3 linked regions of the Diceros bicornis minor genome follow. The protein of the gene in region 3 interacts with the protein of the main gene of each other region in a pairwise test. Links are inferred from orthologs where the notes say so. Each region holds a gene or a part of one and is shown on either strand. Other genes may lie near its edges. The genes, in order: LDAF1, TMEM239 and COQ8A.

Evidence for each region.
Region 1: the proteins of COQ8A (region 3) and LDAF1 interact in binary tests that used the Homo sapiens proteins (3 or more experiments, as listed by UniProt). The two-hybrid records come from large-scale screens. The link is inferred for Diceros bicornis minor from reciprocal best matches to the Homo sapiens genes COQ8A and LDAF1.
Region 2: the proteins of COQ8A (region 3) and TMEM239 interact in binary tests that used the Homo sapiens proteins (3 or more experiments, as listed by UniProt). The two-hybrid records come from large-scale screens. The link is inferred for Diceros bicornis minor from reciprocal best matches to the Homo sapiens genes COQ8A and TMEM239.

The regions. Positions count from the first base shown.
Region 1 is NC_080765.1:30,046,628-30,050,378, reverse strand, and holds the start of LDAF1 (lipid droplet assembly factor 1), read right to left. Parts: upstream 2,493-3,751; 5' UTR 2,396-2,492; intron 1-2,395. UniProt on the Homo sapiens protein: Plays an important role in the formation of lipid droplets (LD) which are storage organelles at the center of lipid and energy homeostasis. In association with BSCL2/seipin, defines the sites of LD formation in the endoplasmic reticulum.
Region 2 is NC_080758.1:31,321,300-31,323,372, reverse strand, and holds TMEM239 (transmembrane protein 239), read right to left. Parts: upstream 1,188-2,073; coding exon 1,120-1,187; intron 1,037-1,119; coding exon 502-1,036; downstream 1-501. Other genes in the region: C19H20orf141 (uncharacterized protein C20orf141 homolog), read right to left, coding at 1,720-1,957, 2,052-2,073.
Region 3 is NC_080777.1:7,156,213-7,159,963, forward strand, and holds the start of COQ8A (atypical kinase COQ8A, mitochondrial), read right to left. Parts: upstream 2,543-3,751; 5' UTR 2,521-2,542; intron 2,515-2,520; exon of another isoform or gene 2,417-2,514; intron 1-2,416. UniProt on the Homo sapiens protein: Atypical kinase involved in the biosynthesis of coenzyme Q, also named ubiquinone, an essential lipid-soluble electron transporter for aerobic cellular respiration.

The sequences.
Region 1 (3,751 bases), on a different chromosome or scaffold from region 3:
TCACCCAACTAACCCAACGACAGCTTCTACTATCCTCACACACTGATGGCGGGCGGGCAAATGGAGGGTAACTTGGCAATATCTACCAACATCTCAAATTGCACACACCTTGATCGAACAGTTTATTTTTGAGGAATCTGAAGGAAATAATCAAACAAGTACATCAAAATGTATCAAAAGGATGGGCAGTGCATCCCTGTTTATAATATATAATAAATAGCAAAACAATAAAAGAAGTTAACTGTCCACTAGCAGGAAATTGGTTTAATAATGATAAATTCATATAATGGACTATTGTACAATCATTAAAATGATAATGCGGCTACTTAGTGTCATGAAAATGTGTCCATGATAAGTGAAAAAAAATTAGAAACTACTCCATATGGTTACATAAACATACATATTTTATGTGTATATCCTATAGTAAAAGATTCAGGACACACAACAAAACGTTAATGGTATTATCTCTGAGAGTTTATGTATATTTTTTTAGCCTGACAAAATGCTGAAAAGAATATAGAATAAAGCAAGAAAGCTGAATACACTATTTTAAATCCTATTGTCTTTTTGTTTTTTCCAGAAAGCCTTCCTCAAACAACAGTGATGGTGGCCGATTTCCTTACGTACACCCACACTAAACAGGTTGGCTCCCAATTGCACTGTGCCATAAATCATTCTCTATTTATTTCTGTGTAACTCTCTTCCCCTTAAGGAGAGAGGTGTCTCAGGAGCAGAGCTTGCCACAATTACACTCTGTGACACAACAGCCTGGAATTTCCAGGACTGTCCCAATCTCACATAAGTATTTATTTTTAATAAAAGCAATTTGTTAAATTAGATATCTATTTTTTTTAACCCTTCTTGGATTTTCATATAAACAAATACATCGTTCCTACTTTATATTTCCCAAAACAACCACTGTAGGGCTGGACACAGAGATATCTTCTCCATTTCTTCCTTACAACTGACCTCCTGACCTGTAGTACAAATGCCTAAAAGATTCTGTTACAGTGGACAAAATTAACTGAGAGACGCTCACATTTATTTACCATATTGAATATCCCACATACTAATTATGAGTTGGGGAGGTTATCTACTAACATCATGGAGTCTAGTAAACAAATTATAAAGCACGTTTTAATCAGCCCGGCTAGAGATCCTCTGCTGCAATCCCTTTTGTGAAACAGAACCCCTTGGAACAGAGGACTTACCCCTCCACCCCATATCCTGTGTATGAAGCTGCATTTGGCACAGATCTTGAATTTGGGATGTTCCCAGCACTCAGCTCCCTAATCTCATCTCTGCAACCGGCAGAAACAAGCCCAGCTCCCCTTATGGGTCTCCTGAGGCCTGGGAAACCCAGGGGCCACCCGGATCGGTTTGGGGAGTCCGACGGGGGCGAGAGTGGGTAGAATGCCATCTCTCCCGCTCCCCAGCCGTCAAATGCACCCACCTGGCCACCAATCCCCAGACCCCCTTGTCACTCACTCCTCGGAGGGTGTCTCCCAGGCACTGAGAAGTCTCCGGAGGAGGGAAGGCGACAACCCGTTAAGCCCGTGCAGCCCACCAGTGTGTTCCCCCCCGCCCCACTGCTCTGCCCCCGCCTTCTCCGCGCCGAACAGAGAGATCACCGGCCAACCGGCCCCCAAAACACCTCCGGCTCTTCCACCCCCGCCCCTCCTGGGGGTAAACGGCTACCCCAAACGTTCCAGCTGGGAGGAGGAGGGGTCGCATCTCAAGCCGGCGGAAGGGAACTGCGGGGCGCCTCGGGCCTACCCAAGCCTCCCGCTCCCCATATGGTTCCAGTCATTCAGCCTTCCAAGACGCAAGGGGGCGGGGGGCGCCCAGTTTCTTGGGATCCAAGGGGAGGGGGAAGGGGGATGATGCAGGTGGAGAGGGGGCTCCGCGCCCGAGAGAACGCCGAGACTGAGAAATGGAAGCTTGGAGGAAGTCGACGACCCTGTCATTAATTTGGGGAAAAGAATCCACCTTTGGTGCTTGGAGCTCCCCTCTCTGCAGTGACGCGGGAGGGGGTCCTCGGTAGAGAAGAGGGACCCGGGGGGAGGCACTCGTTTTCAATAATCCTGAGGGGGGGGTTTGGAGACACCCCAACCAGGTTTCCCAAGAAGGGGCAGGGTCTGGGTGTGGGATGGGGCTGGCAACCCTTTTACCAAATCTAGTGGCAGGTGTGCGCGCGTGCGCACGTGTGTGTGTATGCGTGTGTGTGCGCGTTCTCAGCCCGTCCCAGGGGCTCGAGGGGATGAGACGCCCCTCATTAGTAAACCGCTTGCCCTCTCAACCCACCGTCCCCGCGCTCCTCCATTTGCCCGGCCCGGGAGGGGCTCTAGACCGCCGGGGCACCCCGTACCCCCGGGCCCAAGCTGCGAGCTCTCACCTGGTGCTGGAGGGCGCGCAGACCGGCGTCTGCAGGGGAGCGGAGGGAGGAAAAGGAGCAGGACGAGGAAGACACGCGCGGCGGGGCGGGAGTGGCAGTGGCAGCCTGCTTCCCCTTCCCCGCCCCGCCTTCCTCCGCCCGCCGCCCCGCCCCTCTGCTTCGCTCCGCTCGATCGCCCCGCCCCCGGCCGGAAGGATCCGCCGAAGGCGCGCCCAGCCGCCGCGCCGCGCCTTCTGTGAAGCGGCATCTCCCTCAGCCTTTCAGAGCCACGCCCGGAATGAGGAGCCTTGAGGAAACAGGCTCAGACGTCCTTCTTGCACTGTTGGCTTGCAGAGGAGTGCTCGGGACACCTCTGAGACAGGTGGACTGGCGGCTGAGAAGGGGTTTTAGCAGGGTCATAGGGATTCCCCTGCCTAAATACCCTGAACCAACTCTTCTGGAAGCATCTGTGGAGTTCAGGACTCACAAGTGATGAGGTAACCTGCTTGACTGGAAGCTTTAAAAATGCACGTGGCGGGGGCCAGCCCCCTGGCTTAGCCGTAAAGTGCACTCGCTCCCCTGCTGGCCACCCCAGTTCGGATCCCAGGCACGCACTGAGGCACCGCTTGTCTGGCCATGCCGCGGCCGCATCCCACATACAGCAACTAGAAGGATGTGCAACTATGACATACAACTATCTACTGGGGCTTTGGGGGGAAAAAGGGGGCAAAAAAAAAAAAAGGAGGAGCATTAGCAATAGATGTTAGCTCAGGGCCTGTCTTCCTTGGCAAAAAGAGGATGATTGGCATGGATGTTAGCTCAGGGCTGATCTTCTTCACAAAAAAAAAAGAAAAAATGCAGGAGGCAGCGAGTTCCTTCAAGCTGAGTTAGATTAGTATCTCTGTTTTCTAGATGAAAAAGTCCAAACCCAAGTCCCTCAGTTCTAATTCAGAGCTGCAACACACGTCCCGTCGCCCCAAATCCAGCCTGTCGTGCAGGGTTTCTCAAGGGCAGCGCTTGACATTTTGGGCGGGAAAATTTTGAGTTGTGGGGCTGGCCTGTGCGTTGCAGGATGTTTAGCAGCATCCCTGCTCTCAACCCACTAGATGCCAGTAGTGCTCCCCTTTGCCCCAATTGTGACAACCAAAAATATCTCCAAACATTGCCAAATGCCCCCTCGGGGGGCACTGTTGTCCCCGATTGAGAACCACTGCTGAGCTGGGGGTCCAACAGTCTTGGGCTCTGGTCCCAGAACAGACTCTTTCTGTGTGACCTTGGATGAGTTACCTCTCTGAGCCTGGGCTTCATCTGTAAAATGATACACCCGGGCATTGGCCCGCTGCTGCACACTTCTCAGGTACTTTCCATCCCGTGACC
Region 2 (2,073 bases), on a different chromosome or scaffold from region 3:
CAGCTAGGTTTCAGTCAGTGGGCCTTTTCTAGAGCCTGAGGAAGTGAAAAGAAGGGGTTGGTGACAGGAATGGCAAGTAGGGGTACCCAGGTAGAAGTTCTCAATGAGTCTGAAGCTGAGACAGCAGAGCAGCTGCAAGAAAAAGATGGTGCCAGTTGCTAAGGGGGCCCCAGTGGTGTCACCACACCCATGTGGGAGCTCTTGGTGGCTTGGCCGAGCTCTTTCCCTGGCTAAGCCTTCTGCCCTGTCCCCTCTTCTCAAAGCCCTTGAGCCCCTACACCAAGTACCTGCAGCGTCAACTTGATGGAGGTGCCCAGAGGTCAGGCTAATCTACCCTGCCGGCTCCAGCAACATCACGCGTGACCCAACCAGTGCTAGAGGTTGGAGGTCTAGGGCCTGCTGAGGCAGGAAGGCCCTGGTCCCACTGCCCTCCCTCTCCCCTGGGCCTCAGGCCCTAGGCCAGGGCTCAACAGACACAGGCAGCGGGATGGGGTTGCCCTTCTATTGGTCCAAGTCCTGAGCGTAGCCTGGGTGAGACATGGAGGTGAGGAGGCCCACGAGGCTCAGCAGCGTGGAGAACAGCAGCAGGAAGGAGGCGGTGAAGAGCAGGGCGGGGAGGGCACTGAGCACCAGCAGCAGGACAGCCGGCAGCAGATGGCTCCACGCTGCAGCCACGACAGGCCACAAGGAGCTCAGCAGGTGGGAGCCAGTAGTGAAGAGAGCATGGCACAGCATCAGGGCCAGCAGCAGGTAGAGGATTCCCTCTAGACCCCACAGCACACGCTGCACTGGTTGCCGCCAACCCGATGTGGTCCACCACTGGGTCCAGCTCCGGGGCATGCGGCACATGCACCAGTGCACCCAGCCCTGCCACGTGACCCAAGCCGACCAGGGCACTGCCGGCTGTGGCCCCTCGCCGGCCCCAGTGGCATCTGTCTCCATTCGCGGCTGCTGCATCACGGCTGGTGCACCTGGGGAGAGAGCCAGGCCAGCTGCAGGAGCAATCCTGGAGATGCCTGGGTCCTCAGGGCAGGAGGGGGTGCAGGGGTCAGGAGGGCACCAGCATGGGTGGGGTGAGGCTTTGAGCTGGGGCCTGGGTCTTACCTCTGGGCAGAGCCACCTAAGTCATGTTGCTGCCTGCAGTGCCCGGGACGGCTTGGTAGCCAGAGGCAAGCCCCCACTCTCATTCGCTCCTACCCTCCCCAGAGGAGCCCCATTGTGACCCGGGCTGGGGTGGGGTCCAGCCAAGAGAAGAGCCACTCCAGAGTATGAGGCTCACCTGAGCCCCTCTCCATGGACCCTCCAGGCTGGCAGGGGAGCCTGGTAAGCCCATAGATGTAAATTCTCATGCTCTCTTTTGTGAAGCCTTCTCTGGATTCCTGTCCCTGCCCTGTTGGCTGATATCCAGTCCCACTCTGCTCTCTTGCAAGTCTTTCTGGGCACCCATTCTCTAGAGCTACAAAGGAAGCCAGAATGGCCACCCCCAAGCCACAGGCTCTGAGATGGCTACCACATCCGGCCTTGGGCTCCTTACCCCTTATCTCGCCTTCTATCCCTGCCTTCAGATTCAGACCCAGGTACCCGCTGTCCATATTGTGGGGCTGGAGGTCCCCTGAGGGTCAGGCTGGGAATAAAGGGGTACCCTCCTGCCTGCCCAGCCCAGGATGGAGGAAAGGAGGCCTGAGGAAACAGCATGGCCAGTGTATTTCAGGAGGGCACTCAGGCCCAAGGATGAAGACAGAAAGCCAGGCCAAGCAGGGCCAAGGGCATGCCATGGGCTCCCAGGAGCAGCCGCACGCCCAGGAGCAGCAATAGCAGAGCCTCCTGGAGGCTGAGTCGTCTCGTGACTGCCACTGTCGGCAGAAGTAGAGCCTCCTGCTGTCCTGGCCCCTCGCCGGCCCCGTGACTCTGGCCCCCTGTGAGAAGTGTGTGCTGTGACTGCGTGGAACCTGTGGGCCTGTGGAGAGAGATGGTGGCAGCTGGGCTTCGAGAGGTTGACCACCTGCTCGCCTGCCTACACCTGCCCACTTGCCAGGCTGCTGTCTACTTACCTGTGGAGCAGGTCGAAGGCCA
Region 3 (3,751 bases):
GACCTCCCTGTCCAGATCCTTTTCTATAGGCAACAAACAGCACCCAAAAGACCACCTAACTGACCAAGGAATGCTATGGGAAAATCCTGATACGTCCCCACAGGATGGATCAACTGAAAGGGAAATTCATAGGATCCATCAACTGATGGATCAAAGAAAGGGAAATTCATGGTAGGCACTTGGCATTTTTTTCCTTGCCCTGTACACTAATCACTGTTTTTCAGCTTTTCTGCATCCCCATCAGTTTGGGACTTAGAAGTTTGAGGCATAAATTCTGGGTTATACTGAAGGCAAGATCTAGACTCAGAAGTAAAGCATCTTTCTCTGCACAAAAGAAACCTCTGTCTTTGACATCGAAGCTTTGATCAACTATAAAGGAACTCCACAAATCATACGTGCGTCCATGCTGCACCATTCATTACACTCCTGGGTAGCCTCTTTCACAGAGGAACACATGGTACATGTAAATATACCCACACGTATGTTTGAAATGCAGCCAGACACTCACTCCCTGCAGACGCAGGCCTGGCCCCCTCCCACAACACAAGACACGAGACATGTCTCAGCAAAAAGTGAGGCTGAGTAAAGCATCACCTTGGAAAAGCCACTGGTGGATAATTGAGTTGGCCTTTCTGCCAGCATTAAGAGAGCTGAAACTTGTTTGCTCACTATTTAAAACCTGTCCCACGGTTATTTCATATGCATATCCGCCACAGTCTTGCCAAGTCCCTGAAGACAGAAAACACCAGTCTTCCACTTCTTCTGCACTCTAGACGCAGCCAGTGAGTGCCATGCATCCAGCAGGCACAGTAAACACCATGGCCTTCTACCTCCTCTCTGTCTCCTCTCCTCCCAGCTGCAGAGGTGGGGTCTCCTTTAAAGCCCAATTTACATGGATTCTAACGTCGGTGTAGGGCAGGGGACACAACACTACTCTGTGCCTAACCTCTCAACTCCTCACGGGCAGCTCCCAGGAGGCCCCTGGCAGCGTGGGAAGGCTCTTTTTAGAGTCCTACCTCTGTGGTTCTCAACCAAGGGCGATTTTGCCCTCTAGGAGACATCTGGCAATGTCTGGAGACATTTTTGGGGATCACAACTAGTGTGTGTGAGGTGGGGTACTACTAGCATTAATGGATAGAGGCCAGGGATGCTGCTACACATCCTACAACGCACAGGTCAGCCCCCTCCACCCAAACAAGGAATTATCCAGTACAAATGTCAACAGTTGGGAGACCTGTCTTAGGTGACGCTCAGGGAAGTGCTCAGACCACCTGGTTCACTTTTTGTTAGCTGCCTGAAGTCAGGCCAAAAATTATAACAACCTGCACTGTCCTCATTATCTGTAAGGCTGAACAAAATGCCCAAAGCCGTCGCCAGAGTCTTAAAGATGCTGCTCCCCTGACCCACCACTTTCCCTTTGTCTCTTCTCAGGAGAAAGGCCCTCCTGCCAGGATGCCCCGCCCTTCTACAGCATGACAACTGGCAGGCTGGCATCAATGCATACTCAAATCCTTTGGCAAAGAGATAGGCCTGGCACATCCAGCTCTTCAGTCTTCTGTCACGCACACCCAAGACCCAAGAGCCCGTGGACAAGTTTTCCAGCAGGCGGCAGGCCCACCCCAGGCTGAGAGGCTGCACATAAGTCTCTCACCCTTCAGGAGGCTGGCATCTCTCATCCAAACGGAGAGTCCCAGCACCCAGACCTGCCCCCGCAGCCTTCCCCATTCCCCAAGCCACATGGGAGAACTGGTCTGGGTTTGGCAGAGGAGGTGGAGGCCGGGAAAAGGCACACGTTTATGCAATTAAGCACAGACCACTCAAAAGACCCCCAGCGTTTGGAGAAGCAGAAGGAAGGGCCAAAGAAAAGCAAACAGAGGAAAGGACCAAGAAGGGTCCCCCTTTCCCAAGTTCACCCAAAACGCCCACCTGTGAAACCCAACAGCTGGCTCGGGCCAAAAGGAATCAAAGCTCTGACACAAACCTGCAGCCACGGGCCATTAAGGCCCTTGAGACACGCTGCAAAGGGGTCTGGGAGTGAGGAGAAATATTATCATGAGAACGCGAGGCAGGAAAGCTGTATTGGCGACCCAGAGGCACGGCAACTGGCGGCCGGTCACCGGGGCTGCTCGGCGCGGTCCAGCGCCCCCCTGCTCCAGCACGCGGCCCTCGTCCCCTCCCCGAGGCAGGCCCGGCGGGCTGGGTGGGCACGGGGGTACGAGGCAGCTGCTGGGCCCCCACCCTGCAGCCTGAGGCGCGCCCAGCGCGCCACGACCCGGAGCTCGCGGCAAGTGAAACTGGCAAAAGGGAAGCCGCGCTGTCACCGGAGGAGGATGCAAGAAGGGCCCAGGCGGGCGGTGAGCCCAGCTCCGACTGCAGAGACACGGCGCCCCGGGCCCGCGGCGGCCGGCAGCCTTACCCGGCTGCAGGAAGCTGGGTTCCGCGGTCACCTTCGCGCCCCCTCCGCGCGCTCTGCGCAGCGCTGGCGCCCGGCACGCGCTCCCGATGTGTTTACCAACTCACCCGCGCCCGGAGACCCAGCGCCCGCGGCCCCGCCCCGCCGGCCGCTCCCATTGGCTGCGCCGCCGTCGCCGGCCGAGCGCCGCGCGCCGCGGGAGAGCGTCTTCGGCCCGTGCGCTCGGTCGGCGGCCAATCGGGAGCGAGGGCGGAGCGAGGGGAGCCAATGGGAGGCCGCCTCAGCGCGCAGGACCCCTCCCCCTTCTCCCTTCCCCGTTGCCCTTTCGCCTACTTGGGGAGCCCGGGCTGAAAGCCCGGCTGTGGCGTTGGTGGCCGGGTGCGCGTGCGCCCCGAGAACAGGCCGTTCCCCGTCACCTCCCTGCCGGTGCTCGCCCGGCCTCCGAGCGGGCCCGGAGGGGAGGCAGTGGAAGGGGACGGGACTCAGGAGGGTGTCCGCGCCGTGCCCCGCCTTCTGGAACGAGGGCCCCGCTCCCCGTTTCCCCAGACGGCGCTCGCGGGGGCCCGGCTGACTGCGTTTCCAGCCCCGGCGTCCGGGCCCGCCTGCTGGTCCCGCTTTCTCCTCAGGCTAACCTTGGTGGCTTTGCGGGGGCGCCATCCCCAAACAGGAAGACCCCGGGCCCGTGGCTCCGGAGCCTGTGCCGCCCGCGCCCCCCGCTCGGGGCGCCCGAGGAGGTGGCCCTCGGGCCGGGCAGCTCCCGCTCGGCCGGAACCCCAGTCGTTGTCCCCGCCCTGGAGTCTCCCCGGGGGTCCAGCCTTGCTCTGAGCAGCCGGGGACAGGCCCCCACGTGCCAGCAGCGGCCCCGGGTGTCAGCCGGCCGGCTCCCGAGTGGGTGCGAGCTAACGCCTCGCCCGCCAACGGGTCTGCCCCAAGTCGCCGCTGTCATCCACCAGAGTTCAGATCTGAGCCCAGATCTGTGCGACAAGTTCCCCTCGAGTGATTCCCGAACACCGGTCCGCAGCTCTGTCCCGGGCTGTTAGTGAGTCTTGTGGGGGAAAGGAAAAATAATGAACAATTTAGTGAGTTTTTCGTAAAACTAAATATTCAAGCCAAGGGATTGTCCTTTATTCTATTTTTTTGGAATTAACATTTAACTTTGTGGAAACTTGTTTAATATTAGTTCTTAGAAAATTAAAAGCCCTTCTATGTTGATGCCTAAAATGGGGAGAGGGAGTATTTATTATAATAAAATCCAGAAGTGAACCTACTTCACAGTGCCTCGTTGACTCCTTGGAGCCTGGCATCCCAGAGGTATGACCTGGGTTTATCCAGCCTGTT